Yarrowia lipolytica: one gene and its partners. Each later gene encodes a partner of the first gene's protein in a complex. Links are inferred from orthologs where the notes say so. Each region holds a gene or a part of one and is shown on either strand. Other genes may lie near its edges. The genes, in order: YALI1_B04470g, YALI1_C25758g and YALI1_B17132g.

Region 1 (10,675 bases):
CACGGGTGTGTGGTGTTATTAGCGTGACATTTTTTTTTGGAGTGGACCGTTGGGCCTCGGTTCGGAAAAACTATGCTGATACAAAGTAATGAGCGTTGCGCTAGCCAACACCGATACCAGCAAGTACACTGGGAAGCCCATGGATGCTGTAGGTTAAAGGCGGCAAATAAACAGTGTCCATACAGTATTGAGGCCACATTTTGACAAAAAGCACGGTGCGCAGCAACGCTACATTGGTGGTTGCTGTAGCAGTTGCACATGGCGAAGCTCACACTTTTGGCACTCTGACAGCAGGTCCAAGCTTCGAGCTATGACGTCTGGGCTGGCTTTAGGTTGGAAGCTTGTTTTCGTGTCTTTTCTGGTTTTTTCACGCTGATGCAAAAACAGACAGCGACTGGCGAAAAAGCGAACAAGTCACGATAATGAAACGGGCTCTTCGGGACGATCGGCCAATGTGAAAGTGCGCGTGATGAAGGAGGAAACCGTGACCAGACAGTGGTTTCAAACACATTCGCCTCCAATGTAACCCAGACAATGTGACACCCAGACGCCACTCAACAACTCAACGTGAAGAGTCCGTGTAGCCTCCACACCACACACACTGTCCATAACATATACCTTCCATAAACTTCCATTATACAATGTACGAGGTACAATATGTACTCAAAGTTGTGGAATTCGCGTTTTGCAGTTTTTTGATTTCCGAGATTTGCAGCTTTGGCGGGACAGCCGCACTCGTGCACCCCAAGCTTCCTATGCGCCTTTCTCTCTGCCTCTCTCTGGCGCTCGTTAGGCCGACACCGCTGCGTCCTTATCTCCGTCTCTCTGGACTCTGATACGCCATCTGCACATCCAGAGGTAAGAAGTGTGTGTCTACCCGTGGGTATACAGATACCGAGCCGAGGTAGGGAGAGTAGTCTATGAGGCAGATTGGGGGACGCTATTGCTGCACCTGTAGCTGGTTCAATTGGACCAGGCACATCTTTCTGCACCCATATACCCCTCCTGTCAGCTGTGCCGCCGGCTGCTCTCCTCCTTAGTAAAAGTCGTCAATAGTTGTTTCTTCTCCTCGCTTACCTTCACATGCGTCTTCCATATTCACACTGGTAGATGCAACCAAGAGTTAAAGGTTCATCCCAACGTTGGGGACGGTGGAGTTTATTGAGACAGTAGCAATATAACATGGGAGAGCAGCTGGTGGCGAGCTATGGGGGCTTTTATAGGGAAACAAGGAAGAACCACAGAACCAAGATGATGGATGACGCGAAAAAAAGTTGCTTCCAAAAATCGCATTGCCGCTCTTCATCTTACGCTCTCATATTGCCACTCTCCTGCACCCCACTCTACCTCCGCTAAAGTCCTCGGCTCCAGCACCTTATTCACCATTAGCTTGTATGATATTCGTCGTGTTGGTGGAGTTGTGAAGACGTTGTAGGGCGATATTGGGTCTGGTGAAGAGACGGTAGACCAGCATCGACGGCAGTGGCAACAGAACACCGTCTTCTGGCTCATCTCCACCTCCCCTCCCCCACCCCAACTCGGCCCAACGAAGTGTTTTTCCGAACACGCTTTCAGACGCTGGGCTAAACCCTATTCTCTGGCGGGCGCCTCTGAAAATTACTCAACCAAGATATAAGAGATCGCATCCCCATAACATGAGCGCTCTACTTCGATCGTCCCTGCGTTTTAAACACATGTCCGCCGTCAACCGTCTCACACAACAGCTTCGACTGCTGACCGCCTCCGCGCCTCTCAGCGCAGCCAACACCGCCGGCAAGGCTCCTTTCAAGGTCGCCGTTGTTGGTTCTGGTAACTGGTGAGTAAAAAAAGACAGGAGTTTTCAAGGGATTCAAACGGGGGTTATATAATATAACCCATCGACAACCGCGACATGGATGCTGAAACGAGAGCAACTAGACAAACAAACAAGCACGACACAACACATGGAACAGAGAAACACCACAGACCGCAGATACGGCTTCCTTTGGGTCACCCCCAACAGGAACACATACAGATCATGGTGAAATGGGCAATTCACAGAACTGGATGAGAAGACAGCAACAGAAGACGACAGAAGAAGTTATACAGTTGCACACGGCTACACTGACACGACACGCACCTCCTCTGCACTGCTTAACTCTACGAGTTTAATGAAGTGTTCGATGGGGAGTTTAGTGGAGTGGCGACAGTGGCAATGCGAGGTCTTCTGGAAGCATTTAAAAGTGTGAGAGCAATTCTAAGAGTCTCAAGAAGTACTCTATTTGCCTTCTCTTCAAGCCCCTCCTCCACCTTGAGCCCAGTCTGCTGTGAATGCCGTTATATGTCATCTGTCAGTCATTCAGCGCATTCGGCGTTGCCCCGTTTGTGACCTTTGGCCACTCACCTCCGCTTACCATACTAACATCAGGGGAACCACCGTCGCCAAGATTGTCGCCGAGAACTGCACTGCTCACCCCGAGCTCTTTGAGCCCGAGGTTCGAGTCTGGGTTCGAGAAGAGAAGGTCAACGGCAAGAACCTGACCGACATTTTCAACGCTGAGCACGAGAACGTGCGATACCTCCCTAAAATCAAACTTCCTCACAACCTGATCGCCGAGCCGGATCTGCTCAAGGCCGTCGAGGGTGCCAACATCATCGTCTTCAACCTGCCCCATCAGTTCCTGGCTGGTGTCTGCAAGCAGCTCAAGGGCCACGTCAACCCCAAGGCTAGAGCCATCTCCTGCCTCAAGGGTCTAGATGTCACCCCCCAGGGTGTTTACCTGCTCTCCGACGTTATCGAGAACGAGACCGGTCTCCACTGCGGTGTTCTGTCCGGGGCTAACCTCGCCACCGAGATCGCTCTGGAGAAGTACTCCGAGACTACCGTTGCTTACAACCGACCCAAGGACTTCTTTGGCGAGGGTGATGTGACCAACGATGTGCTCAAGGCTCTGTTCCACCGACCCTACTTCCATGTGCGATGCGTTCAGGACGTCGCCGGTGTCTCCATCGGAGGTGCCCTTAAGAACGTTGTTGCCCTTTGCGCCGGTTTCGTCGAGGGCAAGAACTGGGGAGACAACGCCAAGGCCGCAATTATGCGACGAGGCATGCTTGAGATGATCAACTTCTCCAAGCGATTCTTCCCCGAAACTGATATTAACACTCTTACAGTCGAGTCTGCCGGTGTGGCCGATCTCATCACCTCGTGCGCTGGAGGCCGAAACTTCAAGGTCGGCCGAGCATTCGGAAAGGAGAGCGGCTCCGGCAAGACCATCCAGGACGTGGAGAAGGAGCTTCTCAACGGCCAGTCCGCCCAGGGCGTCATCACATGCAACGAGGTCCACGAGCTGCTCAAGAACAAGAACATGCAGAAGGACTTCCCTCTGTTCGAGTCCACCTGGGGCATTATCCACGGTGAGCTCAAGATTGATGATCTCCCCGAGATTCTTTACCACGCCAACTAGATAGATAGACTGTATTTTATTGCATATGAAAAAGAAGGAAAAGTCTGCGAGCGTAGCGGATGTAGATGTATCGTGATATCACGAAATTTCAGGTTATGTTCTTCTTGTTATGTGATGCTGTACACCTTATTTCATTTTACTTAGGAATGATAACTAACATGGCTGTTTCTTAGACATGTCAACTACTCAGCCCAGCAAGCCCACCATTCAGACATACCACACACATCCACAGAAGCAATTGCATGCCCCATCCACATGAAACATTGCTATCCCCAATATCCCCTCATATCTGTTGAGTCCCAAATACTCAATGCTCCCTTAGGCCGGTTGAGTGGGGCATCAACAGCCGCTCGCCCCGCACTCATACTATATGTACGGTAAAGGAGCACATGGCCCCACAATACGGGTATGTTTAGGAGGGAAATGGCATATTGGGGAGGATTATTATATTACTTGATATGAAAACCAACGGTGACTGCGATCACACGGCTGGAAAGAACTGCAATATGGCTCGATAAGATAGCAATCTATCTTTTTGAAGAGTCGTTCGCCTTACTGTAGTGGCGATTTAGGGTGGTCCTTGTTTGAAAGACTTGTGTCTCTGCTGTACAAGTAAAAGTACAGTATCTGTACTGCAGCTACAGTAGCTGTCTAGAGCCCACACCGAATGGATTTCAGTGTCAGTGACAAGTATACAGTATGCACACAACTCCATAGTGCGACAGTTGAGCGTTTAATTGAAAGCAAATTGGGAATATTGAACAACAAATACCCCCACTGTATGTACACTCCCCCACTGTATGCAAGATTGCACACATTGCCTCGTATCTTAACTCGTATTGGTGCATCTGACCTTATAGTCATACCCATCAGACTACAGGATAGCCTTCGTACGAGGCATCAACTTGGCCTCCTATCCATGAACTATAGAAAAAACATCACGCCTCCGTCTTGTCCACTTGTCCACTTGTCCACTTGTCCACACGGTCCATAAAGATTATAATGCAATAACTATACTTGTACCTCCTTTTATGTTCACATCCCTTCCATTGTCTTTTCAACATACCGCACTGGTCTGTTACATGTGCATCTTCTTGTCCTTGGGCTGAGCAGGCTCGTTCTGGGGAATCTGGGTCTTCAGGAACGCCTGAAGCGACGCAAACGGACTGGCCTGATACTCCTTGGAGTTGAGGATCTTGTTGAACCGCTTGGTCTCGGCCTTGATGATGGCCTCGTTACCTCGAGCATTCCGGGGATTAGGGGTATGATCCAGCTTTTCTCGTGTTCGGCCTCCGTTCTCGGCCTTGAGAGGGTCCAGAAGATCGTCGAGGTTGGCTGCAAGCGTCTCGGTCTCTCGAATTCGCTGACGTCGAGCTTCCTGTCTCTGTTGTCGCTTGATTTCCTTAGCCGTGGCACCATCAGCCATGATGGCATCAATGTCAGCAGGTGGCAAAGGAGTGCCCTTGTTCACCGAAGTCACCCCCTGGGAAACAGGTCGCATGGCAGCCTCGTTTTTCAGAGGGTTTCCGTAGTCGAACGGTCGATCATGAATGGGCTTCTTTCGTTTCAAATCAGCCTTGCTGATGCCTCCTCGCTTGGACAGCTTTGTGTGGTGTCGTTCTCGCTTGGCAGCAGCCTTGTCCTTCTTGGTGGCCTTGGCCTTGTATAGGAACTGTGTGTTTCCCTCGTTCTGTGTTAGATGGAGCTGTACAGCGTCTGGATGTCGTCTCTACTCACCATTCCGTTAGTTGTGTGCTTTGATTTTACCCAGTATCAATTTCGCCCCATGCAAATATCGAATCTTTTCAAATAAGATTTACCAGTACCTCCCACCTGCACTGGGTTACCCGGAGTACATGTACAGCAAATGACCCAATGTTAGTGGAACCATGGTATTAAAAGAACTCCACTCTACTACACAACACATACACACAATGTCCCTTCAGATGCTGAGAAGCCGGGTTGCACTTGCCCGACCTACCCTCGTGCGACCCTCAGTTGGTCAGATGACCAAGCGATTCGCCGGAACCGCCCCCGTTCCCCTCACTTGGGAGCGATTCCTGCTTCTGCGAACCCGAAGACGACAGATCAACTTTGTGGCCTCCATTTTCACCGGTGTGGCCACCTCTGTTCTTGCATGGGGTTTCATTTCCGAGGCCGAGCTGGATCTCGAGCAGCAGGACGTCTTCTTCGGTCTGGATGCCTTCACCGCGGCTGGATTGGGTGTGGTGGCAGCTGGATTTATGGGCTCTCTCCTGGGCCCCACCATCGGCCAGCTCATCTTCAAGGCCACCAACTCCAAGCAGTGGCCCGCCTTCCTCATGAAGGAGACCGACTTCCTGTCGCACATCCAGAAAAACCGAGTGAACCCTCGATACCAGTCCGTCTCCAACCCCGTGCCCGACTACTACGGCGAGAAGATCGGCTCTCTCAAGGACTACCGACGATGGCTGCGTGACTGCGCCAAGTACAACCGTGCCCGAGAGGTCTAAATGTATATAGTAAACAATGATCTGAAATGGAGTGTAGTATGTACACATGGAGCGTGCATGGAGGGCAATATGAGAGCAATTGCTGGACTATGCCATTATAGTGGCAATTGAGTATGAAACGAAGAGATAGGTGCAATAGAACAAATGTGTTGTAATGGCCATGTACTGAAAGCACCCAAGTTCCTCAAATCACCCAAGTTCCTCCACATGTCTCGAATCAGAAGTCAATCTAACATCGGAAGTCAATCTAAGAAGTCAATCTATGACCACAAATAGATAACAAGTACAGCCCCAATGGCAAGACTACTGTACATACTTGTAGTATACGCGTGTTAATCTATATTTCCAAGTTGTACATGCTATGACTGTGTGTTAAACTCACTCACTTGCTCTCAAGCAAATAATCCAACATGCCAACTATATCCTTGTTGTTCTTCATCATCTCCTGATACTCATTGCTATCATCATCCCAGCCAAGGTACCGAGCCTTGTTATCTCTCTCCTGCTTGAGCACCTCTTTGTCCACCTCAATATCCTGACCCTCTACTTTCATCCATGCAAATATCGTGTCCAGAACCACCACCAGCCTGCTTCCTAGCATCTCCATGTCAGTCACGATCTCCTCAGTGTCCTCCTCATTGGCCAATGCACTCTCCAGTGCGGGAATCATGGTATCTACAGCCTGTTGTGTGTCATCTCTGAGCTCCTTAAGCTCATCCAACTTAGCCTTGTCCATCTTGGCTATCACTCTGACTCGTTCAGGCGAATCCGAAGGCAAAAGACGCAGCAGAGAAGCATATATGGCCCACAGAAACTCCCCATATTCACTATAGGTCTTGTAATGCTTGTTCTTGCCTGCCTTGAGAGCCTTGAACAAAACACCCAAACCCTTGGCTTGCACAAACACTGTAGCCAACTCCGTGGAATCATAAGAGTTCAGAGCAGCCTTGATAATACGAGCAGCATGCTTCTTGATCCACTTGCCCTCTCCTCCCATGAGCCTCACCATGGCATCCACACCCTCAACTTCAGCGAAAGCTGCTCGTCCGGAAGGACTGGTGAGAATATATGCGAGGATACCAGCTATCGATCCAGCCAGTTCCTCCTCGTCCCCCTTGGTGGGATCTTTATCAACGTAGGCCATCAGGTATTTGATAAGTGCTTCCACTCGTTCAGCAGACACTCCGGTTCGATACTCGTACTTGGTGAGCCAAGTAAGACAGTAATCAGCCATGGTTGATCTATCATGCAAAAGTAGGGGTGATTTCTTGTCGGCGAGAAGATCCAGAAACTTGGGGAAGATGTGCGTTCGTAGCTGTGGGGTGATATCGTCCTCAACAAACATAACGTCTCCCATGTCGAGAATATACTGGATCTGTGTAGGATCAATCCTGACGATTTTGTCGGTCAGTTCCATGATGTAATCGATGAAGTCGTCGTTAGACCATAGAGACCTAGTGAGGGCATCGGGATCAGCGAAATCGTTGGTGCGAGTGATGAGCTCGTGGAAGATCTCACAGGTGATGAGTGCAATGTCGAGGTTGGGATGGTCCAGAAGCTGCATCAAAGACACATGACATTCAAAGTCGGACACAAATCGTTTGTAGACAGTTATAAAGTCGTCATCATCTGTGGTAGTAAGCACACTGAGAGCTCGAATGGCCTTCTCAAGCTCCACTTCAGAGTCCATGAACTTCAGAGGTTCATTAGCAAACAATTCTCGTTTCTCCGTGTTTGAAGTAATAGCACGTTCGAGGTCAAGAACAAGACCCTTCAGCCAGTCAGCCTCCTGGGGGCCATCTTTGTGTTCGTCTACCAACTTCTGGATTGCAAATCGTTCCTCAATGTGTTCATCTTCAATTTGGGGCGACTTTGGCAATGATGCCTCCTCCTCGGGCTGTGCGTCGTCATCCGTCTTGCGTCGCTTAGCGCCGTCGAAACCAGCGTTTTCAAACACACTGTCGATTGAAGCCATGGTTGAGATTGTAGATGGTTGGTCTGCGCGTTGAGTTTCACGCACTATATTTGAAAGTTGTGCATGAAGGTGCATTCGAGAAAATCGGTGGGGAGTCCTAAGTCGATACTTGTACGAGCACTTGCAGTAATATATTGAAGAGAATAAAGAGGAATGTGGTAATGTAGTACTTGAGGTTAACACTTCAAATATGACACGTTTTTCTCTTCTGACTTCTCTGAAGCATTGCTTTGATGGACTCTATACGCACAGGTTATGATCTCAAGCTCAAGTTGAGGAAGAATTAACTAAACGTGCCACTTGAGTTATATACTTCTGTTTCATTTTTAGTTGAAGGTGGCGCTGGAATAAGACCTTCATTAACAGACCCAATAAGTTGTGAAATATCAAACTTGCCGAGTAGAAAAAAGGTAGTTCCTCAGGGTCTAGAATATGGAAGTTGTCAAGTTTCAGCTTCCCAGAGCCTCTGAAATACGCTCGTCTCGCCTCCCTTCACACCACCGCATCACATCCGCCGTGCATAATCACCGTTATTTTTTATTTAGATTCAATCACCTTCGCATCACATCATCATCATGGCGAAAAAGGCGGAAAACAAGAAGGAAAAGAAGGCGGCTGAAGCCAAGCCATCGGCGGAGGACGCCAAGGCCGCCCGTCTGGCACGGCTCAGTGCCATCAGACAGAAAATGAACGATTCATCGACGTCCAACAGAAAAGCACTTTTCGAAGAGGACAAGGACCTCAAGGTGAACAAGCGGGCGGATGCGCTACTGGAGCGGAAACAGCAGGAGGCTGAGTTTGAGCTGGAAAAACTGCAGGCCGAGGAGCGTGGAGAGGACTTTGATAGAAAACGAGCATGGGACTGGACAGTCAAGGAGACGGAGGAATGGAAGGAGAAGAAGGAGCGCAAGCGAGAACGTGAAAGCCAAAGTGGTGTCCACGACATGTCTTCGACCGCGCAGAGAGCATACGAGAAAGATCTGGCCAGTTTTAAGCCCGATCTGGAGACATACGAGAAGGAAAAGGAGACTGGCTTACATCATACGCCGTCTTTCAACCATAAACCCACACCTGAGGCTCTGGATCGACTCGTGAACGGACTCACCAAGGGCGACAAGCAGCGAATGAAGCGACGGAAGCAGGCAGGAGCCGACGATCAGCATGCAACGTACATCTCCGACAAGAACAAGCAGTTCAACGAGAAGCTCAACCGACAGTACGACAAGTACACCAAGGAGATCAGAGACAACTTTGAGCGAGGAACAGCCTTGTAAGCTGCGGCTAGTGGCCCATTATTTATTGATCAATACAGTAATACAGTGTATAAGAGACGGTCTAGGTATTGTAGTATTGGAGCAATCTACTCATGAGTACAAGTGTTGCTACATTAGTATTAGTACAGTAATATAAACAGAGGGAAGTTATTGGTGATACCCGTTAGAGGAAGAATTATCCCATTCCTGCCAGTGGCTTCTGACTGCGTCGATATGTGAACTGATATTCAAATGATAGGTGGCAGCCATGCCCTTGACAAATTCAAGAGCCTCGCTTCGATGCGCGGGCTCTACAAGCGATTCAAGAGCTATTCGTAGGGCAAACATGGCCCCTGAAGCCAGCCATTCGCAAATATTGGTCTTTACGATACCAAAGATGCGCGAGGCGTGATGAACGGTTGTGGGCTGCCGCATGTACATCTGCGAAAGGGGCACACTGGGATCACACCTCGAGGCAATGAGCATGAATGAGTGGTACATGCACATGGCGGTGATTCCTTTTCGCTCGACAATGTATATGCACGGAAAGAGCGGGCTTTCAGTCTCCATGACGGTAGTGGGTCGCATTGGTTCCGGTACTGAGCCGAACCACACGTCTGCGTCTTCACAGAGGGCCTGAAACGACTTGTGGAGCTCGTTCTCAACCGTCTCCTGCTCGGTCAGCACCCTTGGAACACAAGAGAAGGTGTGTAGCTTGGCCAACAGATAGTGGATGCGTCGAAACCACCATGTAGGAGACGCTGTTTCAGGAGAGCAATATGACAATCCTAGAAGGTCAAACCACTCGTCTGGGTCCCAGAACACGGGAAGCGAGTGTCTGATGGCCACCAGGGTATCGTTGAATATGTTGGCCCAAACACACATACGTGCTAATGGTGTCAGCTTTGTAGGCATGCCGTTCGAGTCGTGTGTGTAATCCAGATCAGCCATGAGAGCCCTCGATCCAGTGAGATGAATATAAGTATCCTGGGCACCATCTGACGACAGATCGTAGATATTGAGCAGCACAGAGGCACACAAACACGCCTCGTCGTCCTTGGGAACAGCTGTCAGCGCCTGTAGAAGAGACATGGTGGCTCTTCCGTGCAACCTCAGGGCCTGCTCTTCGGTTATTGTCCCTCTCTTGGCCAGAACAATGCTGCCAATGGCCACTGCCGCGTGCATGATACACGTGCACTCCACTGCTATCTGGGGGAGTACCTCTGTCGTCATGGGGTACTCTGTGAGTCCTGCCAAAACCTCTCCGATCACGTCGATGAATGACTGTAGACACAGTGCGTCCAAGGCATCCATTTTAACGTGCTGACCGCGAGCAGGCCCTGCCAGTTCGGTCGTGTTCAAGGGCACCAGTAGCAGTGTAGCAGCTGCACTTCTCATAGTCGCGGCGGTCATATGATCTACCCTCAGCCGCCGTTTATCCTCGTGTTTCCATGGCGTCTGATATACTTGTTGCGAGTTCATCTTGTGTATGTGCGAGGGGTGCGTAGCGAG
Region 2 (11,063 bases), on another chromosome or scaffold:
GTTTCAGATCGAGAAGTGACGGTAACTGACCATGATCTAGGTTCCTACTTGGCTTGGTACATTCCTGTAAGTAGAGCATGAGGGCATGAGGGGTAGCTATTTTATGGGAGAAAAAAAAGCCTGAGAGAGGCGGAGTGATTGCAGAGAGTGCAACAAGCCCGGCTATACAAAAATAACGCGAGAAAACCTCGTAAATAAAGCCATTTTCTCCCCCCAAACACCGCTGGTAACTCCCTCACGTGCTAATATCTCAACTCCCGCAGATGTCATGCGCCGGCCCCTCCACACTTGTTGTTGCGAACGTCACAACCATCTCTCTTGGCACAGCGCCGTGTCATGCGAAAAGTAAGGGTCAAGAGGCATAATCTGCATTTGCCGGAGGAGCACAATGGCAGAGTGCCATTCCCTGGACGCGCCCATGGCTTAGCAGGCCATATACATATAGACCGGGGTGCCGGAGGATCAGACTCCATACCGCTTCTGGAAGAACAAGACGAGTCTCTGGCTGGACCTTCCCACGATCCCATAGACGACTCTTTTTCTATAAGCGCAGAGGACCCGTACAACAGCTACCACAGCACTCCGTCTGACTTCCTCAATAACTACAACGACTACCCCGACGAGCCCGGCATCCCACTACTACCAATGGAGAAAGACCACACCCACGAAAAGGGCCACTCGGATGAGCACGTCATCATCGACACCGCCGAGGTGCTCGAAGACACGTGCTTCTACGTGGCTTACAAGCTCGGCATTGCCACCGTTGACGACGAACCCTTCCCGGAGTCCGTTTCCTACATTGCCCTCAAGGTTGACGAGATGGGCGATGAAGAGGCGCTAGCCATCCTCAAACGCCACGTGGAGTACCACAAGGACGACCGAAACATCCCCGAGTCGTCCATGCTGCTCTGGCGGTCGCTGATCCGCCATTCTGAAGAGTATGCCCAAGGAAACATCTCCGAGTCTGGAGAAGCTAATCCCTCTCTTTCGGCCAAGAAGAACACTGAGTCCACAGTCGACAGAGTGGCCACCCGAGCGACCTACGAAGACGGATCTGCCGATCTCGACCCCGCTAACATGTCTCCCAACGAACTGAGCCTGGCTATTCGATACCATGCTGCCATTTTCCACTACTGGTCTCCCTACATCGAGGTACGATCAGTCACAGACCCCTTTGACGACCCCAACCTGCCTGTGGAGACCATCCGAGCGTACCTGGCTGGAATTATCTGGCTCATTGTTGGTGCTGGAGTCAACCAGTTTTTCTCTGTGCGAATGCCTGCCATTTCCATCTCTACCATGGTCTGCCAGCTGCTGCTCTACCCCACTGGCAAGGCACTGGAGTATATTCTGCCCGATAAGGGCTTCACATTCCGTGGTACCCGACACTCGCTCAACCCTGGGCCCTGGAACAACAAAGAACAGATGCTGGCCACCATGTTCATCTCCGTCGCCATCGGAGGCACCTACATCACCTCCTACAACCTGTTTGTGCAGATTCTGCCCATGTACTACGGAGTCGACTACGCCCGACAGTTTGGTTACACTCTGACCCTGACTCTTGCGTCGCAGTTTATGGGTTTTGGTTTTGCGGGTCTGCTCCGAAAGTTTGTCGTCTACCCTACCAAGGCCATGTGGCCAACTCTGATGCCCACTCTGGCTCTCAACCGAGCCCTGCTGGTCAAGCAGAAGCGAGAGAAGGTGCACTCCTGGACCATTTCGCCCTACAAGTTCTTCTTTGTTGTTGTCGCATGCGCGTTTGTCTACTTCTGGTTCCCCAGCTATATTTTCCAGGCTCTGTCAACCTTCAACTGGATCACCTGGATTGCTCCTGACAACCTCAACATCAACATCGTCACTGGTGCTCAGGGTATGGGTGTCAACCCCTGGCCTACCTTTGATACCAACAACATGTTTGCGCTGTTTGATCCTTTGGTTCTGCCACAGTTCACCGTTCTTAACACATACGCTGGAATGATCCTTGGTGCCTCTGTTATCCTCGGACTCTACTACACTAACACCAAGGGCACTGCTCACCTGCCCATCAACTCCAACCGAATCTTTGACAACACTGGAAAGTCATACAATGTTTCTCGAGTGCTTACTGATGGAACCTTTGATGACACCAAGTACCGAACCTACTCGCCCCCCTTCTACACTGCTGCTAACCTCATGGTATACTCCAGTTTCTTCGCCATTTACACTCTTGGTTTTGTCTACATTGGCCTATCCGAGTGGTTTACCATGGTCGAGTCTTTCCGAGATGTGAAGCAGGCCTTCATCGACATCTTCATGACCACGAAGTTCTACATCATGCGAATAACCAACCGCAAGGCCACCCGACACGATATGGACAGTTCCCAGTTCACCAACCGACAGGACGAGCCCTTCTCACGAATGATTGCTGCCTACCCCGAGGTCCAGAACTGGGTCTTTATTGGTCTCCTGGTGGTATCTTTTGTCCTGGCGGTCATTGCCATTCGAGTGTGGCCCACAGACACTCCCATCTGGGGTCTCTTCTTCTGCCTGGGTATCAACCTCGTCTTCCTGATTCCCTTGACTCTCATTCTTGCATACACTGGATTCGGATTCGGTCTCAACGTGCTCGTCCAGCTCATTGTTGGTTACGCTCTCCCAGGTCATCCTCAGGCCATGATGATCCTTAAGGCCATTGGCTACCAGGTTGATGGACAGGCCCAAAACTTCATCACCGACCAAAAGGTGTCTTACTACACTCACATGCCCCCACGAGCTTTGATGCGATCTCAACTCATTGGTACTCTGGTTGGAGCATTTGTTTGTCTCGGTGTGCTCTACTACCAGCTTGAGATTGAAGGTATCTGCACTCCCGAGCAGGCCACCACAACCAAGTTCACCTGTGTGTCTCAGAACACCTTCTTCTCGGCCTCTGTCATCTGGGGAGCTCTCGGTCCAGCCAAGATGTTCCAGATCTACCCTGCCATGAAGTACATGTTTCTGCTTGGTGCCGTCGTTGGTCTCATCTTCTGGGCCGTGCAGTACCCTCTGCCCACTTTTCTGGCCAAGAAGTTCCCCCAGCACCGAGAGCGAATTCTGTCTTTGCAGTCTACCCTGAAATTGTTCAACCCCGTCATCTTTGTTGGCGGTGTTCTCAACTTTGCTCCTTACAACCTGTCCTATGCTACTGGCGGTCTGTACGTCTCCTTGCTCTTTTCCTGGATCAAGCGACGATATTCTGCCTGGTGGCGTAAGTACACCTACGTTCTTGATGCTGGTCTCATCACCGGAATTGCATTCTCGGCCATCATCATCTTCTTTGCAGTCCAATACAAGGGAGTGGAGCTCGAGTGGTGGGGAAACACTGTGTCTTACGACAACCTGGACTTTAAGGGTGCCATTCTGAAACCCCTGGCCGCTGGAGAGACCTTTGGTCCTTCGCCTGAGAACTTCCCTTAGTTTATTTTATTTAATTGATATGACCTGAACATGACTGTTAGTAGTTGTATGAGTGCATAGGGCTGACAGATGATCAGCATACTGTAAATGACACCTGGAGCAGTGACATTTCATTGGAGCTGGATCTCGAGCTGAAGAACGTGCAACTACAGACAACCAGAACGACTATCTGTTGTAGTTGTATGTTTTTGTGGTCAGATACAAATCCTCTAATCACACACACTCCAAGCTATTCGATTCAATTCGATATCTCTTGTGCCATACTGGGGCGATATGTAACCGTAGACGTCTAGCTCTTAGGTGGAGGGGTTGCAGTGCACTGAAGTGGGCGGTGAATTTTTTTCCAAACATCGGACAGTATTTGAGATGGATGCTGTTGATCGATCTCCATAAAAATTATATCATTACACTCCCCACGATCGAGAGAACAAGATAAGCCATCAACAATGCAAATCCAACAATTATTCACCCTGAAATTCTTTATCCTTTCCCGGATACATCGTCTCCGAGATGCGGCTCGCATTTGGGTCGGACAAAATATCATGTTTTCATGCGGCTGGAAAATCCAATGAGGAATACTGGAGAAGGGTTTGTCGGTTTTGGGCCAGATAACAGGGTCTGATATCAGTGCAAAAGATCCGTGTGTATCCGGAAGATGCCTTTCGACGCTCCAGATGCATGTGTTTTATTCTATCTCGTTCGGACAGGGCAATTGGCATGTCCACTTTTCAACTTGATCTGAGGAGACTGTTCACTGTGGAGGGAAACAGTGCCCTGATGAGTTAACTACCAGTGAATCCCTCTCTGCAAATGTCATCTGTCTTATCAGTGCTTGTGTCACCGCAAACATTAGTCTGTGCTGAAACATCGGTACTCGTCAGTACTCGCTCTCGTAGTACTCGCTCTCGTCAATACGGGTACCGTACTCGCACTTGTATCATAAGTACAAGTATGTACTATCTTCCGATCGCTCCATTTTTGCGGGGAAGATAGCTACCCCAAATCTCCGTGCATTCCTTTTCCTGTATTCGATATCTGGCCAGGATCGGGATTGGCCGCGAAGAGCCATGCAGTGCCGGAAGACTATGTACCAGTTGCAGACTAGCGAGACATGACTTTGCTACCACAACCCCTTGAAGTAGATAGTCTTCCCTGTGAGAGACCTTTCCTGAGAGAATGGTTTGAGTCGTTCTTTCACAGCCTTGATGTGACGTTCTGCCGCTCCGTCAGCTTCGGGATGGCCCACATTTGCTATTCGAAATGACACTCTCGGCCATTTCTGGAACCAACTGTTCTGAAACAGTGGGTCTTGGTCGGACACAATGCTGATCTGTTGATTGTCATTGATCCTGTCCCCGCGATGCACATCGTTGTCATGTTTTCGCTTGTGCGGTTGTGGAGCAGGGTGGGTACATCCTTCTTTCACCCAGACAACAGGTTATTCACTGATCAGTATGATGCGATGATAACACTCTTTTTCAGATAGCTTCGAGTGTTGCAATTGAAGTTCCGTCCTTGTCTATCTCAGGGACTGACCAGAGCTATGACGGTACACTTCAATTACGGCAATGGCGGCAACTATGAACCTCACAATCATAATTGGCGAGATGGTACGTGAGTCTCAACTAACACACTTATCATCAACACCACTAGACTACACATCGCCATCCAACGACAAATACGCAAAGCTCAAAAATCCAACCAATCAAACAGTCGCCGATTGCAACGCCAAACATAGCGTGGTTTCACAACTTTTTCCCACCACCCCCGCGGAAGATTTCGCGTGTCTAGCCGCACTCTGTTTTACAGCTTTTGGCATGACCATGCATGATCTCATCACCATCTCATCTGGAGCATGTGGTGTAGAGGGCGGCTATGGACGATATAGTCGCATATTTTGCATATTTTGGATCCAGACAGAGACAATTGCGGGCATTAGTCACTCGCACGCTGACTAACCCATCGATTCAGGCCACACGAATGTGACGCCTTTCCCCAGCGGTGGCAATTGTTCCGCCCCTTTCTCCGGGTTGGTCACGTGGTCTGCGGTGCAAGTCTAAGTGAGGGGGGGGGGGAAATGAAGGAGAAATTGGTCATGGGTCTCGGTAGTAGTCAATTCACGTGCTTTCGCGGCCTAAGACATATGCCTGAGACAGGGCAACCCATTGTTGCTGGTTCGCACGCCTTGCTTAACTTATGACGCCTGACCTTGAGCCAACCGCTGTCAGATGGATTCTCCCAACTCCTACTCCAACCTTCGCTAAGCTTCCACTTCAAGGGCAACTGTGGGTTCAAAGTTAATTTTGGGGAATTGAATTTTCCATTCTTCGAGACTAACAACACCTCTTCATCCTCCCCCAAACACCGCCCGAAATACACACACAAAATGATCTCTCGAATTGCCCGTGTCCAGCGGTCGGCCGCCGTCCGATCCACCGTCCGATCCGCCATGCGACCCGCCACCGTGGCCCCCATGGCCTCCTTCAACCTCCGATCCCGATTTTACTCCGACAAGGCTGAAACCAAGGCTGAGGACCCTGAGGCCGCTGCTGAGGCTGCTGGTCCCGCGGCCAACGCCGCCGACGCCTCCGCTTCTGGTGCGTCCGCTGCCGAGACCAAGACCGCCCCCACCGCCGAGGAGTACGAGGCTCTGCTGGCCAAGTTCGAGAAGAAGGACAAGGAGTGCGCCCAGTTCAAGGAGCACTACCAGCGAGCCATCACCGACTTCCGACACCTGCAGGAGACCACCAAGCGAGAAATCAAGAAGGCACACGACTTTGCCCTGGCCAAGTTCGCCAAAGACCTGCTGGACTCGGTCGACAACTTTGATCGAGCCCTGGGCGTTGTCCCCGACGAGATCAAGAACGACCGAGAGAACAACAAGGAGATCATGAACTTCTACGACGGCATCAAGATGACCCAGGATATCTTCGAGAAGACTCTGGGTAAGCACGGCATGAAGAAGCTCGAGCCCGTCGGCGAGGTCTTCGACCCCAACATGCATGAGGCCGTCTTCGAGGCCCCCCAGCCCGACAAGGAGGCCGGCACCGTCTTCTTTGTCCAGCAGACCGGCTTCACTCTTAACGACCGAATTCTGCGAGCCGCCAAGGTCGGAGTTGTTAAGGGCGAGTAATTCCACCACAAATTATCCAATATGTATATAGTAATGAGTAATGTTTCAGAAAATGTCACCTGTAGATAAAATCAATACCCAAAAAGGTGATCGGATGATGAGTTGTACTAAAGATTCAGATTCTAAGGACTCAATGGCCTTATTCAACATCAATTGTTCATACATGCTCGCAAAACGTGATAAAACATGGATCGTTTACTATTTACATATACATTTACAAGCACTTGTACTTGTACTTGTACTTGTGCGTGACACTGTTCGGCACACTATCGTACTATCTCAGCTTAACGCCGTATCGGTCAACAAGCATCTCCTTGAAAGCGTCGAGCATCTGGTTGATTTCCTGGTTCTCGAGATTTCGCTCCATGGACTGGAAATTGATTCGGTAGCACTGCGAGGTCAGACCGGTCTTGGGGTTGGTGAAGGTATCGGTGAGAGCCACGTTCTCGACCAGATCGCCGGCGGTGGCTCGGATTAGCTCCATGATGTCGTTCTCGTGGATGGAGTCCAGAGCAGCGCCCTCGGGCAGCCAGAAGGCCACATCTCGGTCGGTGCCGGGGTACTTGGACCAGGATTTGAAAGCGGTGATCTCGTTAGGCTTGAACTGCGACAGGAATCGCTGGTCAAGAGACCAGAAGAGTCGAATATCGGGGATACCGAACAGAATCATGGCCAGGCGCTCCAGACCAAGACCAAAGGCCCAGCCGAAATGGGTGTGCTTGTCAAGACCTGAGGCCGAGTACACGTGATCACGAACAAGACCACATCCGCAGCACTCGAGCCAGTCACCCTTCCACCACACCTCAATCTCCCATGAAGGAGTGGTCCAGGGGAAAGTAGTCTCGACCCATCGAACCTTGAGGGGCTTCTCGAGATCGGGATCAGTAGACCCAGCAACCTTAGCAGCTACCTTGGCACGCTCGAAAATATCTCCAACAAGCAGCTCAATGGACTTCTTGAGATGGGCAGCGACAAGCTCGGTTTCGGTATCAGACATGTAGGGGGACTTGGGGTTCTCGGGGTGCGAAACCTGGTCGACGTCCTCGACAATGAGGTTGGTAGCGGGGATTGCGGCCACGTCAGCTCGGAGCTTCTCAATCAGAGCCTCCTCGGAGGGGTAGTCTTCTCGCTTCCAGGTTCGAGCTCCCTCCATCTGATGGAACGCAGGGTAATGAGTTCGGTCAATGGTGTCTCGACGGTAAACGTCGGCAGTGACGAAGAAACCGGGCGTCTTGGTGTGCTGGAAACAGTGGACCTCATGGGCACTAGTGTGAGTTCGAAGAAGGGTGTCGTGGTTGATATAGTAGGTGTCAGTCTTGGCTCGTCCCGGATGGTCCTCGGGGAATCCGAGCTGGTCAAAGTTCTCGTGTTTGCTGACGACTGGATGAAAGTTGTTGTAGGCAGTGTAGCCCATACCCTCGAATCGCTTCTCAATGATAGATCGGATGATTCCAACAGGATGGGAGTCCTGAAGGTGCAGGTTTCGACCAATCAGAGACGAGATGGTCGGTGTGATGTTGGTCCATTCGTCAACAGCATGCTTCTTGCCGTCCACCAGAGTCGATTGGTGTCGAATAGCGCCCCGAAAAGAGGTCAACAGACGTCGTGACATGGTTGTGCGCGTGGTTGGAGGAGTGATACAACCTGCAGGAATATTGACGAGTTTTAAGTTCGGCTACATGATGGGAGAAATCTCGAGCGGGTTACTGGGGGGAGCGTTTGAAGCTGATAGTGACGAACTTTCCATTGCTGATTTGTCACTGTGCGATTTGGAACTGATTAGCCCTTTTATATTCTCATAAATACTCCTGGAACGTGTATTATTGAACAGGTATGAGATTTTTCGTATGCATATTCAAGTCGACTTATTTGAGTTCAGAATGTTCAACCTGAGAACCGAGCGGAGAGGCACTATGCCTCGTGTTTTTGGCTGCAATTTTTGGCTGACTAATCTTAAATTTGCAACATCTTCACTTTATTGACGATTTTGTAATGATTCTTTTCTCAATCACTTGTACTTGAAAGGTCACATACGCCTATTGCTCGGTTCTCCAACCATACTAAACCATGTTCCAGAGTCAAGTAAAAAGTGCATCTCGGATCATTTTCTTAGTTGTGAACTGAGCACCGCGTTGTGCAACTAGGGAGATGTATATTTAATTATTTTGCTGAAAAATCCTATACATACCCCGTATGACAATGTACTGATCTCTTTTTTCTTTCTTCTTCGAGTATTGTTCTGATCATTTCATCGCTTCCATAATCACAGGATTCCTGCACCTACAGTAATCCACCTGCAGCACTTTCAGATCTCTCCAGACCACCACACTATGTTTACGAGGACGCTGAGGGCGCTACGGCCTCTGTCAGCCGTGCAGCCGCTGAAGATGGCGAGTCGCCATTACTCGGCAAAAAACACAACCAAGAAGATCAGAAATATCGGAATCATCGCTCATATCGATGCAGGAAAAACCACCACCACGGAACGAATCCTGTACCTGTCTGGCACCATCAAGCACCTCGGAAATGTCGATGAGGGAGACACCACGATGGATTTCCTGCCTGCTGAGCGGGAGCGGGGTATCACCATTGCCTCGGCCGCCACCAGTTTCAACTGGAACAACCATACCGTCAATCTGATCGATACTCCGGGGCACGCTGATTTCACCTTTGAGGTGATCCGATCAATTCGTGTGCTGGACGGAGCTGTTTGTATTCTCGACGGAGTGGCTGGAGTTGAGGCACAAACCGAAAAGGTGTGGAAACAGGCCTCGGAGATGGGCATTCCCAAAATTGCATTTGTCAACAAGATGGATCGAGCTGGAGCTGGCTTTGGACGTACTGTCAAGGAGATTGTGAGCAAGTTGAGAACACGTGTCGCGCTTCTGACCGTTCCCGTGTTTTCCAAGTCGTCAGATCAGGTGTTTGAGGGCGTTGTTGACATTTTGAACGGATGTGTCATCACATGGACTACTGGAGGAGACGGAAAACAGACTGTGGTTGTTCCTGTTTCCGAAGCGTCCGCCGAGGTGCAGGAAGAGTATCAAAAGGCCCGTACTGCACTGGTTGAAACGCTCACTGAACTCGATGAAGAGCTGGTTGAAAAGTTTCTGGAATCTGAAGATTACATGCAAATCACTACTGAAGACATTAAACGGGCCCTGAGAACCGCCACCATCAACAACGACATTGTTCCAGTTCTGTGCGGTGCATCTTTTCGAAACATTGGCGTCCAGCCCCTCATGGATGCAGTTGTCGACTTCCTCCCTTCTCCGGCAGAACGTCCTCCTACTGACGCTTTAATTGCCAAGTCGTACACTGGAGGTAAGAAGTCCAAGGTCATTCCGGAACGGGCCATCACTCTCGACGATTCGATGAAGAACCTGTGCTGTGCTCTGTGTTTCAAGGTTGTCCAGGATCCCCAAAAGGGCACACTTGTCTACGTGAGAGTATACAAGGGCGAGTTGAAGCAGAACAGTGTCCTATACAACACTACATCTGGAACCAAGGACCGTGTTTCTCGTCTGCTCAAGGTTCATGCTGATACCACCTCAGAGGTCACGTCTATCACTGAGGGTAACATTGGAGTCATTTTGGGTTCCCAGGGACTCGCTACTGGTGATACCATTGTCTGCCACAGTATCAAGAAGGACGGTGTAATGAAACTTCCCCCGGATAACCGTTTGATTCAGCTCAAGCCCATCGCTGTCCCTCCTCCGGTGTTCTTTGTTCGAATTGACCCTGCGTCCATTGGCGACACTCGACCCATGAATGAGGCTCTTGAACTGCTTCTTCGCGAAGATCCCTCTCTCAACGTTTCGTTTGATGATGAGACCAACCAGACCACACTCTCTGGTATGGGAGAACTTCATCTTGAGATTGCTCAGAACCGACTGATTGAGGACTTCAAGGCCAACATCGTCATCGGTCCTATCATCATTTCTTACAAAGAGACTCTTAATGAACCTACCAAAAGTATCACCAAGACCGTCGAGCCCGAACCTGGAGCTGTCAGCACTGTTCGACTTCGATTGGAGCCCATCACTGAGATGGATGAAGCTTGTGAAAACGAGAATGTGATTGATCATGAACAAAACACAGTTTCTTTCCCTTACGAGCTGTCTGATGCCGACCTTGAGTCCGTTGGAGAAGGAAACCAGCGCATCTCGTTTGAACGAGATACAAAGGAACTTACCCCCGAAATCATGGAAGAGTGTTTCCGAGTGGGATCTATTCCCCCTCTTGTGTCCTGCGGCCCTGTTTGCAGACTCCCTCTTCGAAGTGTACGAGTTGTAATCGAAGCCTGGCATATCGCGCAGCATATTAACAATACAGCTTCTCTCAAGACAGCAACCCGTCTGGCTATCATGGAGGCTCTGTCTACTGCCAACGCCACTCTCATGGAGCCTATCATGAACGTCTACGTGTCTGTCAACGAGGCTGACATCGGTCTAGTGGTCAAGGATCTTAGTGGATCACGAAACGGACAAATTGT
Region 3 (10,706 bases), about 1.3 Mb from region 1:
GTCACGTGGATGAGCTTCGGACAGTTCTTGTAAGCATCCGGGTTGAGATCCAGAACGCGATCCATCACCTGAAGAGCATCGTGGTTGCGAATATCAACAGGACGGGTCAGAGTGCCGGGCTTGAGGGTTAGAGAGTAGTTAGACAGCGTGTTTGTGGCCTCCAAAAGACACTGGGCCACCTTGAACTGGTGTTTGGTACGTGTATTGGTGTCAGCCATACCCAAAACAAGCTTGGCACTCTTCATGCTTCCTCGAGTGTGGTTACCATTGGTAGCAGCATCATAGAAAGTGTAAAACTGAGCCAGAATGGCCTTTTCAACAAACTCGGAATCAACGAGACCACCCAAAATATACGTGGTCTTGGCAATTTCAAATTGAGAGGCTCCCAGCAATGCTTCAAACACCTTCTGATTAACCTGGGAATCGGAAAGAGTGCTGAAAACAGTCTTCAGCGACACGAGAACCTCTGTGGCAGTAATGAAGGTCTGCCACTGGTCAGAGGTACGCTTTAACCAGTCCTCAGCAAACACAAAGTCATCCAGAAGATCCACTTGAACTTCCTCCCCAGAAGTAGTCACCTTATTAGCCCGTTGAAGGGTGATAGATGGAATAGCAGGTTCCAACAACCGGCAGGTCTCAACAAGCTGCTTCGTGAAATGGCTGGTCAAATGACTAGCTCCAGTAACCGCAGGAGACTCTGTGATCAGAGCAAGAGCATCCCATTGAGTATCGTTAGCTTCAAAAGAGTTCTTCAACACGATCTGAATGAAAGCATCTCGCTCGGACTCGGGGAAAGTCACGTTATGCGCCAAAGTAGCTAAAAGAGGTGTATTGGATTGTGTCACGTGACTCACAAAATCTCGGAAGACAGCCCAGCAGTTTTTGTAAGCAACGTAAGGCTCCAACACAAGCTGCAAGTCGTCCTCAGCAGAGGGCGTTCTCAGATGCGAGCCCAGAAGTTCAATCACGTGGGAAGGATCTCCGTTCTCCAGCTCATCAATTGTCAACCCAGGGTTGATACCATGTAGACGCGTGTAGTTGATGAGCACCTGGGGTACGCCTGCCACCCAATCAACTTCCTCCGAGTTGTTGTGGTAACCACTCTGCAGGATCAGCTGCTCCATCAACTGCGTATCATGTGATACCTTGAACACGAGTCGGATTCGTTCCTCCAGAAAGTTGTGCACAGGTTTGGGTACCACTGAATCGAGGTATGCCAGCAGCTTTTGTTCTCGAGACTTGATCACGAGTTCTGGAATGAATCCCTCATCTCCAACCACACTACCCGTATCTTGTCCCTTGTCCAATTGCCCCTTTCCCACCTTGTTGACGAGCCCCATGTATTCCTTTGGATCCAGCAATTCTGGAGTGAGAACCAGAAGAATGTGCAAAATGTCTTCCTTTTGAGAGGCGCAGAAGGCTGGAGAGCTCGCCAGAAGCGTCTCAAGAGCGTGTATTTGCGCACTGGCTGTGAGTTTTGCTGTTTCGAGAAACAGAGACATGATTGCTATTGTAGTGCGTAGCGTGGAGTGATGCGTTGTGTCGTGTTACATGTAATGGAGTTATGCATGCTGAATTTTGGGGTTAGGGTCGGAGCGGCGTGGTGTGGGTAGTCAATGGAACTTGGTACTCGTACTTGTAGGGGAGAGGTGAGATTATAAATTAACGAGGGAAAGTACCAAGAAACCGAATTAAGGGGTATGGGGCTATTATTATGGATTATATTGAAATTTGAGGAAGTTCTATAAGTTTGATTTCGACAGGAGGTATTTGTTGAAGTTTAGTTAGGAAGTCAAGTATCAGGATGACTAAGATGTGTCTTTGATTCGATTCCCACTTATGACTGTATTTTCTTACATACAATGTGATCAGACCTGTTCTCGCTACGAGGACCAGAATAGTATCAATGAGAAGTTTATCAATGAGGATCGACCTTTGTTTCCTTATAGAATAATTCAGCTTCCTTAATAGTTGTATACCCCCCAAAACAACCACAACCACCTGCTATCCATCCTCTCCCCTTACGCCTTCCACCTACAGTACGTGTAACTCTAATACATGCAGGTGAAAAGCTACTCTTAAATTTCAACTACTGTATCTCGACAACGGCACAACTCTTTTTCCCCAAAGATGGCTATCGGAATCACAGAAAAGATCACACAGATCCAGGAGGAGCTGGCTCGGACGCAGAAAAACAAGGCAACCGAGTACCACGTTGGTCTGCTCAAGGGTAAGCTCGCTCGATATCGACAACAGCTTCTGGAGCCTGCTCCTGGAAGTTCGACTTCCAAGGGAGAAGGATTCGAGGTCAGCAAGTCTGGACATGCCCGAGTGGCTCTTATTGGCTTCCCCTCTGTTGGAAAGTCGTCACTGCTCGGCAAAATCACAAACACAAAGTCGGAGATTGCTGCTTACGCCTTCACTACCCTGACGTCAGTTCCTGGTGTGCTGGAGTACAATGGAGCCGAGATCCAGATTCTCGATCTGCCCGGTATTATTCAGGGTGCTTCCGAGGGTAAGGGTCGAGGTCGACAGGTTGTTTCGACCGCTAAAACTGCCGACCTGGTGCTCATGGTTCTGGATGCTACCAAGCCTGAGGAGCAGCGTGCTATTCTCGAGCGAGAACTCGAGTCTGTGGGCATCCGACTTAACAAGGAGCCGCCCAACATTTATTTCAAGATTAAAAAGACAGGAGGCGTCAAATTTTCTTATACCAACCCGCCCAAGTACCTCTCGGAGAAGATGGTGATGCACTTGCTCAAGGACTACAAGATCCACAACGCCGACGTGCTGATCCGAGATGAAAACGTGACGGTCGAGGATATGATCGACGTGATCCACGCCGACCACAGATCCTACATCAAGTGTCTATACTGCTACAACAAGTGTGACGCTGTGTCTCTGGAGGAGGTCGACCGGCTTGCTCACATGCCTGACACCGTGGTCATTTCTGCATCCATGGAGCTGGGTCTCGATGATCTGACGGAACGAATCTGGGCCGACCTCGCCATGCTACGAATCTACACAAAACGAAAGGGAGAGCTTCCGGACTTCGCTGAACCCACCGTGGTTAGATCCACTCACAACACTATCGAGGATGTCTGTGACACTATTCACAGAGACATGAAGAACAAGTTCAAGTACGCGTTGGTGTGGGGTGTGTCGGCCAAGCACTCGCCGCAGAAATGTGGTCTTTCGCACAAGATTGGAGACGAAGATGTGGTGTGTATTTTCACCAAAACGTAGAGTGCTTCGAACTCTCTGATGGCAGGTGTCAGAGGAGACAAGTAGATGATAATATAAACATGAAATACGCATGCAGACCGTACTGGTGGCTTCTGGTAGTTCATATTGGTATTGATGCCTGGTTGACTAAGACTGATCCGTGACATGGAACTTTCCAGAATACTCGCGAGCACAGAAACGCAATCTATAACAACAGCAGACTCGAAAGACTGCAATAAATACACCCTGGGCCATTACACGCAAACTAAATGTGTCGACCTCACAATGATATGTTCTCTTCTACACACTATTCAAATCCATCAATCTCATTAGCAACGGACAACCGTACTGGCGTCCGCCGTTCCTATATACATCCTTCTTATTGCCCTTTGCAATGATGCTCCGCAGTTACTGGTGGTTAAAGCCGTTGTGAGTCAGCATCACAAGGGGAAACACACCTGTAACACACAACATTTGCTTCGATCATGTTGTTTATTTGAGTCCTCCCCGCTTCTCAAGAACAGACTTAGCCTCGTTGATCTTGGTGGCAACGTAGGGAGATCCGCCTCGATCGGGATGGTTCAGCAACATGATCTTTCGGTGCTGGCCCTTGAGCTTGTTCATGGTCAGACCGGCGTCTCGAAGAGACAGAATTTGCAGAGCCTCGGAGGGACCCATTTTGTTCTCAAACCCGCCCTTGAAGAACTGGCCTCGAGCGCCGGCAGCAGGACGCTTGAAAACAGCGCCCAGAGCATACAGACCGACCAGAGTGGCGGCAGTGGCCTGGACAGGGTGCTCGGCAAAGTAGTCGAAAATCTGCTCGTCGATGCCCTTCTTGGGGCCCTCGGGGACCTGGGGGGCCTCGATCTGGGGAGCGACGCCGGTCTCGGAGTCCATCAGAGGCTCCGACTGCAGAGGTTGGACGGGGGTAGTGCTCATGGTTGTGTAGTGTGCTGTGGTGAGTGGTGATGTCAGACTCAATTTTTCACCACCAAAATATACTTTGAGTTTCGAATTTGGGTGGTTGGTTTTGGCAGCATGCAGAAGACACAGGGAAGACTTTGGGGGACGATGTAGGTGTGCTAAGGGAATTTAGAACATACCAGTGTGCTTCTATAAACGAGAAGAGTACGATAATGATACCACATTTTCCCTTTAGGAGCTATCACACGTCCCCGTGTAAAGTGATCGAGTATAACTAAATACCGAGGTTAAAATGAGGTAAGCTTTGCGGATCTCAACTTCGGGATGCTCATAAGACGTTTAATAGTAGATCTATTTGGAATAAATTTTCACAGATAATATATTGGAAGTGTGTTGTTTCTGTCAGAACAATTTTTACCCAAAATGACACCCAATTTAGTTGAGTATAAGTAACCCCCAAAATCTCTCCCCATAACAATCCTAAACTCTAATACATAGAGATGGCGAATGAATGGGTTTTTCCAGCAATCATATAGGTGTCTATGGGATCTATTAATTGGCTCTGATTATTTAAAGCTGATAAATATACCCACATCCATTCTAGAACGGTGTTTTCTTTCTTGTGTCATTAGAATCCCCCACAAAACCTGTCCCGCAGTATCTCCGAACGCCCTTATTAAGCGGGGTTGAGTTTTGTGTGTGTGCAGGGAAAGGGTTGATCATACTGGAGAGTCGTGAGGACGATATAAACGAAGAGATGTCCCAATTTCCTGAGCCGGTGACTTAGTACGAGATCTAAGATGTACCTGATCTTGGTAAGTTGACCACAGCTGAATGTACTGGAGCTTATAGAGGTAGCTAGAGCTTGTAGTGTAGCTACTAGAATATCACCAGTGCACTGTAGATCGCGCACAATCTATTACAGTAGACTATAAGTTGATGGACATGCTACAGTATCATTGATTTACGAGCTTGGTCTAACTACAGGCACGAGTATTGTAGTTACACCAGTGACCAAACCACAGGCTAATTGCCATTCTGGTGCATCCAGTTAGTGGTACCGGCGATAAAAGTAGTGGCAAGAGTCGAGTTCGTTACAAGTTGGCATCCTGATGATAACATCAAGTGTTGTACATATTAGCATCGATTTCTGTAGCTACATCAAGAAAAATGGGCACTAAGGCACTGGGGGAACTGATGTTACAACATGGTATGAGAATATGATACTGTATATGTGATTATCAGATGAGCTATCTTCTAACACCATAGATCCCTTCTCTGTGCTGTGGTACATGTATGGGACCACAGTCCCTAATTCCCATCGCCACACCAGTATGTACACAGACGTATGGCCTGTAGCATCTTCAATCTCACTCGACCTTTTCAAGTACCCCCGTATGCACCATCATTTGCCGTCGCGACCTTCGTGACAATTCCTCCGGTATGTATATTCTATACTCGTCTGTGATGTCTTTGTCCTCATCAAATGTCATAGTGGCATGTAACATGTTATCCAGGCAGGGTATGCTTTTGGGGTTACGAAGCTACTTTGGACCCTTTTTATACACGGCACTCCAACGTAGAATAGGAAATAGGGGATATTGGCCTGTACTTGTAGTGTTTTTTTTTTTTTTTTTTTTTTTTTTTTTTTTCAGATTATATCAGATATTGTTTCCCATCAGATTCTTCCTCTCTATGAATTTTACCGAATTTCGCCATGTTTCTTGTCCCTTGTTTGATTTGTTTCACAATTAAGCTCATTTTTGCTCGTTTAAATTCAAATTCGCTTAATATGTTCCTTGTTGTCAGCTCGTATCGAGATATACTAGCTGAGAATGTGCTGAGCGGCTTTGAACGTGGCGCCACTTACTATACGCATTGCAAGACATAGAACCATTCCCGTAATAAAAATTCCCTGGGAGCGTACACAAACGCCTCACGTGACTTTTCCGCACTTTTGCGCTCCTCAAAACATACGGCAGCATTGAATTTTGTGTTTAATTTTAATGTACCTTCACTGTTCTGCACGGCGCAGGTGGAGGCGCGGTTAGTAGATTATGTACACTTGTCGTTTTTGACCATTATTGCACGTAAAATGACTATCCGGGAGTATTATGAGGCATTACAAATCGACTAAACCAGTAAAAACGCCCCCAGATGACATTCATGACATTCATGACACTCTAACACCTTTCCCCAGCTTGCGTAAATATATGCAATTATAGTTAAGCTTCATGGGGTGCTGCAGTGTCGAATCACGCATACTGTTAAAGGTGATGAGCAATCCCACAAACGAGTCTCTCACTTTCCTCTCGTCATTGTAAAGCAATTGTTTTTAGAAGCCGACTTCTCTTCCTAAAAAACAGCATGGAAAGCACACCACCAGATTACACTGGTCTGGATCCCACCATTGATGCAGAAATCAGGTCAATAGCAGAATCCGTCCATAAAGATAGGGTCGACGATTACGACACGGAAAAGGGCACTGTGGGGAACGAAAAGCTGCTCAGATCCGACACTGTCCAGCCTAACCTTGACGTCAATCCTTACATCGACAACTCGGACCCCCAACTCGATCCGTTATCTGACGAGTTCAACGCTCGTAAATGGATCAAGACCGTTTTGGGATTGAAGCAGCGGTTTGGAGCAACCAAGCATATCACAGCGGGTGTGTCATTCAAGAACCTGGCCGCTTATGGTTATGGAGGTGGCTCGCAGTACCAGAAGACTTTCTCTAACTCCGTTTTGGCGATTGGCCCGATGATCATGGAGCTGTTTGGAGGTAACAAGGGCACCAAGGTGCAGATTCTAAGACACTTTGACGGTCTGGTGAGAGCAGGAGAGACCTGTGTGGTACTAGGAAGACCAGGATCGGGATGTACGACATTCCTGAAGTCTGTGGCTTGTGAAACATATGGCTTTCACATTGAGGATAAGACAGAATGGAATTATCAGGGTGAGTACGAACATCTTACGCAGTCCTTTGTGAGGTTTTCATCAGTATACATTTTCTCTGTCGACATTTTTTACTAACATAGGCGTCCCAAGAAAGGTAATGACTAAAAACGCCCGGGGAGAAATCGTCTACAACGCAGAAGTGGATGTCCATTTCCCCCATCTGACAGTCGGAGACACTCTCTTGTTTGCAGCTCTCGCTCGAACACCCCACAATCGTCTGGAGGGAGTATCACGTGAACAGTTTGCCAAACATACGCGAGACGTTACTATGGCAACCCTCGGTCTCACGCATACTATGGATACCAAAGTTGGCAACGATTTCGTGCGTGGTGTCTCTGGAGGAGAGCGTAAGCGAGTATCTATTGCCGAGTCTGTCGTCTGTGGAGCTCCTCTCCAGTGCTGGGATAATAGTACACGTGGGCTGGATGCAGCCAATGCCACCGAGTTCATTCGGTCTCTTCGTCTGTCAGCCGAGATGATGGGCTCTTCAATGTTTGTTTCTCTTTATCAGGCATCTCAAGAGGCGTACGACTTGTTCGACAAGGTCTGTGTTTTGTACGAGGGACGACAAATATACTTCGGACTCGCAAAGGAGGCGAAGCAGTTTTTCCTTGATCTTGGCTTCGAGTGTGCAGACCGTCAGACTACGGGTGATTTCCTCACGTCGCTAACCAACCCCATTGAGCGAATAATTCAGCCCGGGTGGGAGAACAAGGTGCCTCGAACTCCTGACGACTTCGAAAAGTGCTGGATGGAGTCACAGGCTCGTCAGAAGCTCCTACAAGAGATTGAGGAGTTTAACACCGAGTTCCAGCTGGGTGGAGAGTCTCAGGATCACTTCATGGAGCTGCGAAAGGAGTCACAGGCTAGACACACTCGTGTCAAGTCTCCGTATACGATATCATGGCCCATGCAGACCAGATTGTGTCTCTGGCGTGGCTTTCTGCGTATCAAAGGAGACATGTCAACAGATATTTCCATTGTGGTTGGAAACTTCATCATGGCCCTGGTTCTGTCTTCCATGTTCTATAACATGCAGCAGACCACAGACACATTTTTCTCTCGAGGAGCTCTTCTCTTTTTCGCTATTCTGCTCAACGCCTTCTCTTCGGTCCTGGAAATTTTATCGCTTTACGAACAACGTCCGATTGTGGAGAAACAAACGCGGTATGCATTATACCATCCATTTACTGAAGCCTTGGCGTCCATTCTGACCACATTCCCTACTAAAATCCTTACGCTCCTGGCTGTCAATCTGACTCTGTACTTCATGACGTACCTGAGACGTGAACCAGGTCCATTTTTCATCTTCTTCCTCTTCTCGCTTCTGTGTACACTTGCGATGTCCATGATCTTCCGGTGCATGGCTGCCATCACCAAAACTCTCGAGCAAGCCTTAGCTCCTGCATCAGTCATCATCTTGGCGCTTGTCATTTACACTGGTTTCTCGCTTCCCATCACTTACATGCACGGATGGGCTCGGTGGATCAACTGGTTGAACCCAGTCGCTTATGGATTCGAGGCTGTAATGGTGAACGAGTTCCGAAATCGAGACTACGGGTGTGCTTCATACGTCCCTACGGGAGGAGAATACGACCAGATTGATCTCCAGTACAAGTCGTGTTCCGTTGTTGGCTCTGTACCTGCCGAATCGTCGGTCAACGGCGACCGATTTCTGGGTCTCGCGTACCAGTACTACAATGCTCATCTGTGGCGAAACATGGGAATCCTGTTCGGTTTTATATTCTTCTTTGGCTTCTGCTACCTGGTCGCGGTAGAATATATTCAGGGCGCCAAGTCCAAAGGCGAGGTGCTCGTGTTCCGGAAGTCATACCTCAAGAAGATCAAGAAACATGCTGCCAACGACGAGGAGGCTGGTGCGATGATGGCTGGTGAGAAGAGCGAGGAGCCTGCATCCGAAGACTCCTCCATTAACATCCAGGCCCAAAAGGGAATATTCCAGTGGAAGGATGTTTGCTATGACACCAAAGTCAAGGATGGAGAACGACGACTTCTGGACCATGTTGATGGTTGGGTCAAGCCAGGCACTCTGACAGCTCTGATGGGTGCTTCAGGTGCAGGTAAGACTACCCTGCTCGATGTTTTGGCTGACCGAAAAGCGACAGGTGTTATTACTGGCGACATGTTGGTCAATGGAGAACCCAGAGACGAATCTTTCCAACGAAAGACTGGTTATGTTCAACAGCAGGATATTCACACGTCTACTGCTACCGTACGCGAGTCCCTCGAGTTCTCTGCTCTGCTTCGACAGCCGTCCAGCATCTCAGTCAAGGACAAACTTGCTTACGTAGATGAGGTTATTCGAATTCTTGAGATGGAGGCTTATGCTGAGGCTATTGTTGGTGTTCCAGGCGAGGGTCTCAACGTTGAGCAGCGAAAGCGTCTAACGATTGGAGTAGAGCTGGCTGCCAAGCCTGAGCTGCTGTTGTTTCTGGACGAACCTACATCTGGTCTTGATTCTCAGACTGCTTGGTCTATTATTAAACTACTCAAGAAACTGGCTGCAAATGGACAGGCTATTTTGTGCACCATCCATCAGCCCTCTGCTATCCTCTTCCAGGAGTTTGATCGACTTTTGTTCCTAGCCTCCGGAGGTCGAACCGTCTACTACGGCGATATTGGCCCTGAGTCTACCATATTGACAAGCTACTTTGAGAGAAACGGAGCTGACCCTTGTCCCAAGGAAGGTAACCCTGCAGAGTGGATGCTAGAAGTGATTGGAGCTGCTCCTGGATCTACTGCCAAGAGAGACTGGCCTGTGGTCTGGAATGAGTCGTCTGAACGAGCTGCCAAACGGGCAGAACTCGATGAGATGGCCCAGACCGTCGAGAGAACACAGACCAACAACACTGAGAGAGACGCGTCCGGCTACTCCGACTCGGACCAGTTCGCAGTAGGTCAATGGACTCAGTTCAAGATTGTCACCAAACGACTATATCAGCGATTCTGGAGAACTCCATCTTACCTGTGGTCCAAGATTTTTTTGTGTACCGCCTCTGCCATCTTTATTGGTTTCTCCTTCTTCAAGGCACCTTCTGATATCCAGGGTATGCAGAACAAAATGTTCTCCTTCTTCATGCTGTTCCTGATCTTCAACACTGTTGTGGAGCAGATCATTCCTCAGTTTGACCAGATGCGAGAGCAATACGAAGCACGAGAACGGTCGTCCAAGACATACTCGTGGCAAGTGTTCATGGCATCCAATATGGTAGTCGAGCTGTCTTGGCAATTCCTCATGGGTGTAATTGTCTTCTTCTGTTTCTACTACCCTGTGGGATTCCAGTGGACAGCTGAGCACAACAATTCTGTCCACGAACGAGGGGCTCTTTTCTTCCTCTACGTTCTTTTGCTCTTCCTTTACAACTCCACATTTGCCCACATGATGATTGCGGGTATTGGTAACAAGGACACTGCTGCCAATATTGGTAACTTGTTGTTTTCTCTCATGTTGCTGTTCTGTGGTGTTCTGGCCACCAAAGAGCAGATGCCTGGCTTCTGGATCTTCATGTACAGAGTTTCGCCTCTTACCTACTTTGTTGGAGGAATGCTGGCAACAGGTATTGGACGAGCCCCGGTAA

What was found.
Region 2: YALI1_B04470g (region 1) and YALI1_C25758g share a complex: the UniProt entries of both Saccharomyces cerevisiae proteins name them as parts of the PAM complex. The link is inferred for Yarrowia lipolytica from reciprocal best matches to the Saccharomyces cerevisiae genes PAM17 and MGE1.
Region 3: YALI1_B04470g (region 1) and YALI1_B17132g share a complex: the UniProt entries of both Saccharomyces cerevisiae proteins name them as parts of the PAM complex. The link is inferred for Yarrowia lipolytica from reciprocal best matches to the Saccharomyces cerevisiae genes PAM17 and PAM18.

What each region holds. Positions count from the first base shown.
Region 1 is NC_090771.1:441,727-452,401, forward strand, and holds YALI1_B04470g (uncharacterized protein), read left to right. Parts: upstream 1-5,332; coding exon 5,333-5,935; downstream 5,936-10,675. Other genes in the region: YALI1_B04433g (uncharacterized protein), read left to right, coding at 1,656-1,816, 2,408-3,443; YALI1_B04466g (uncharacterized protein), read right to left, coding at 4,522-4,944; YALI1_B04497g (uncharacterized protein), read right to left, coding at 6,318-7,985; YALI1_B04502g (uncharacterized protein), read left to right, coding at 8,486-9,184; YALI1_B04523g (uncharacterized protein), read right to left, coding at 9,332-10,645. UniProt on the Saccharomyces cerevisiae protein: Component of the PAM complex, a complex required for the translocation of transit peptide-containing proteins from the inner membrane into the mitochondrial matrix in an ATP-dependent manner.
Region 2 is NC_090772.1:2,570,062-2,581,124, forward strand, and holds YALI1_C25758g (uncharacterized protein), read left to right. Parts: upstream 1-5,821; coding exon 5,822-6,568; downstream 6,569-11,063. Other genes in the region: YALI1_C25703g (uncharacterized protein), read left to right, coding at 337-3,435; YALI1_C25742g (uncharacterized protein), read right to left, coding at 3,984-4,159, 4,204-4,303; YALI1_C25747g (uncharacterized protein), read right to left, coding at 4,392-4,656, 4,703-4,812; YALI1_C25782g (uncharacterized protein), read right to left, coding at 6,843-8,180; YALI1_C25789g (uncharacterized protein), read left to right, coding at 8,899-11,063. UniProt on the Saccharomyces cerevisiae protein: Essential component of the PAM complex, a complex required for the translocation of transit peptide-containing proteins from the inner membrane into the mitochondrial matrix in an ATP-dependent manner.
Region 3 is NC_090771.1:1,709,083-1,719,788, forward strand, and holds YALI1_B17132g (uncharacterized protein), read right to left. Parts: upstream 4,165-10,706; coding exon 3,718-4,164; downstream 1-3,717. Other genes in the region: YALI1_B17105g (uncharacterized protein), read right to left, coding at 1-1,502; YALI1_B17112g (uncharacterized protein), read left to right, coding at 2,131-3,246; YALI1_B17155g (uncharacterized protein), read left to right, coding at 6,517-7,105, 7,188-10,706. UniProt on the Saccharomyces cerevisiae protein: Essential component of the PAM complex, a complex required for the translocation of transit peptide-containing proteins from the inner membrane into the mitochondrial matrix in an ATP-dependent manner.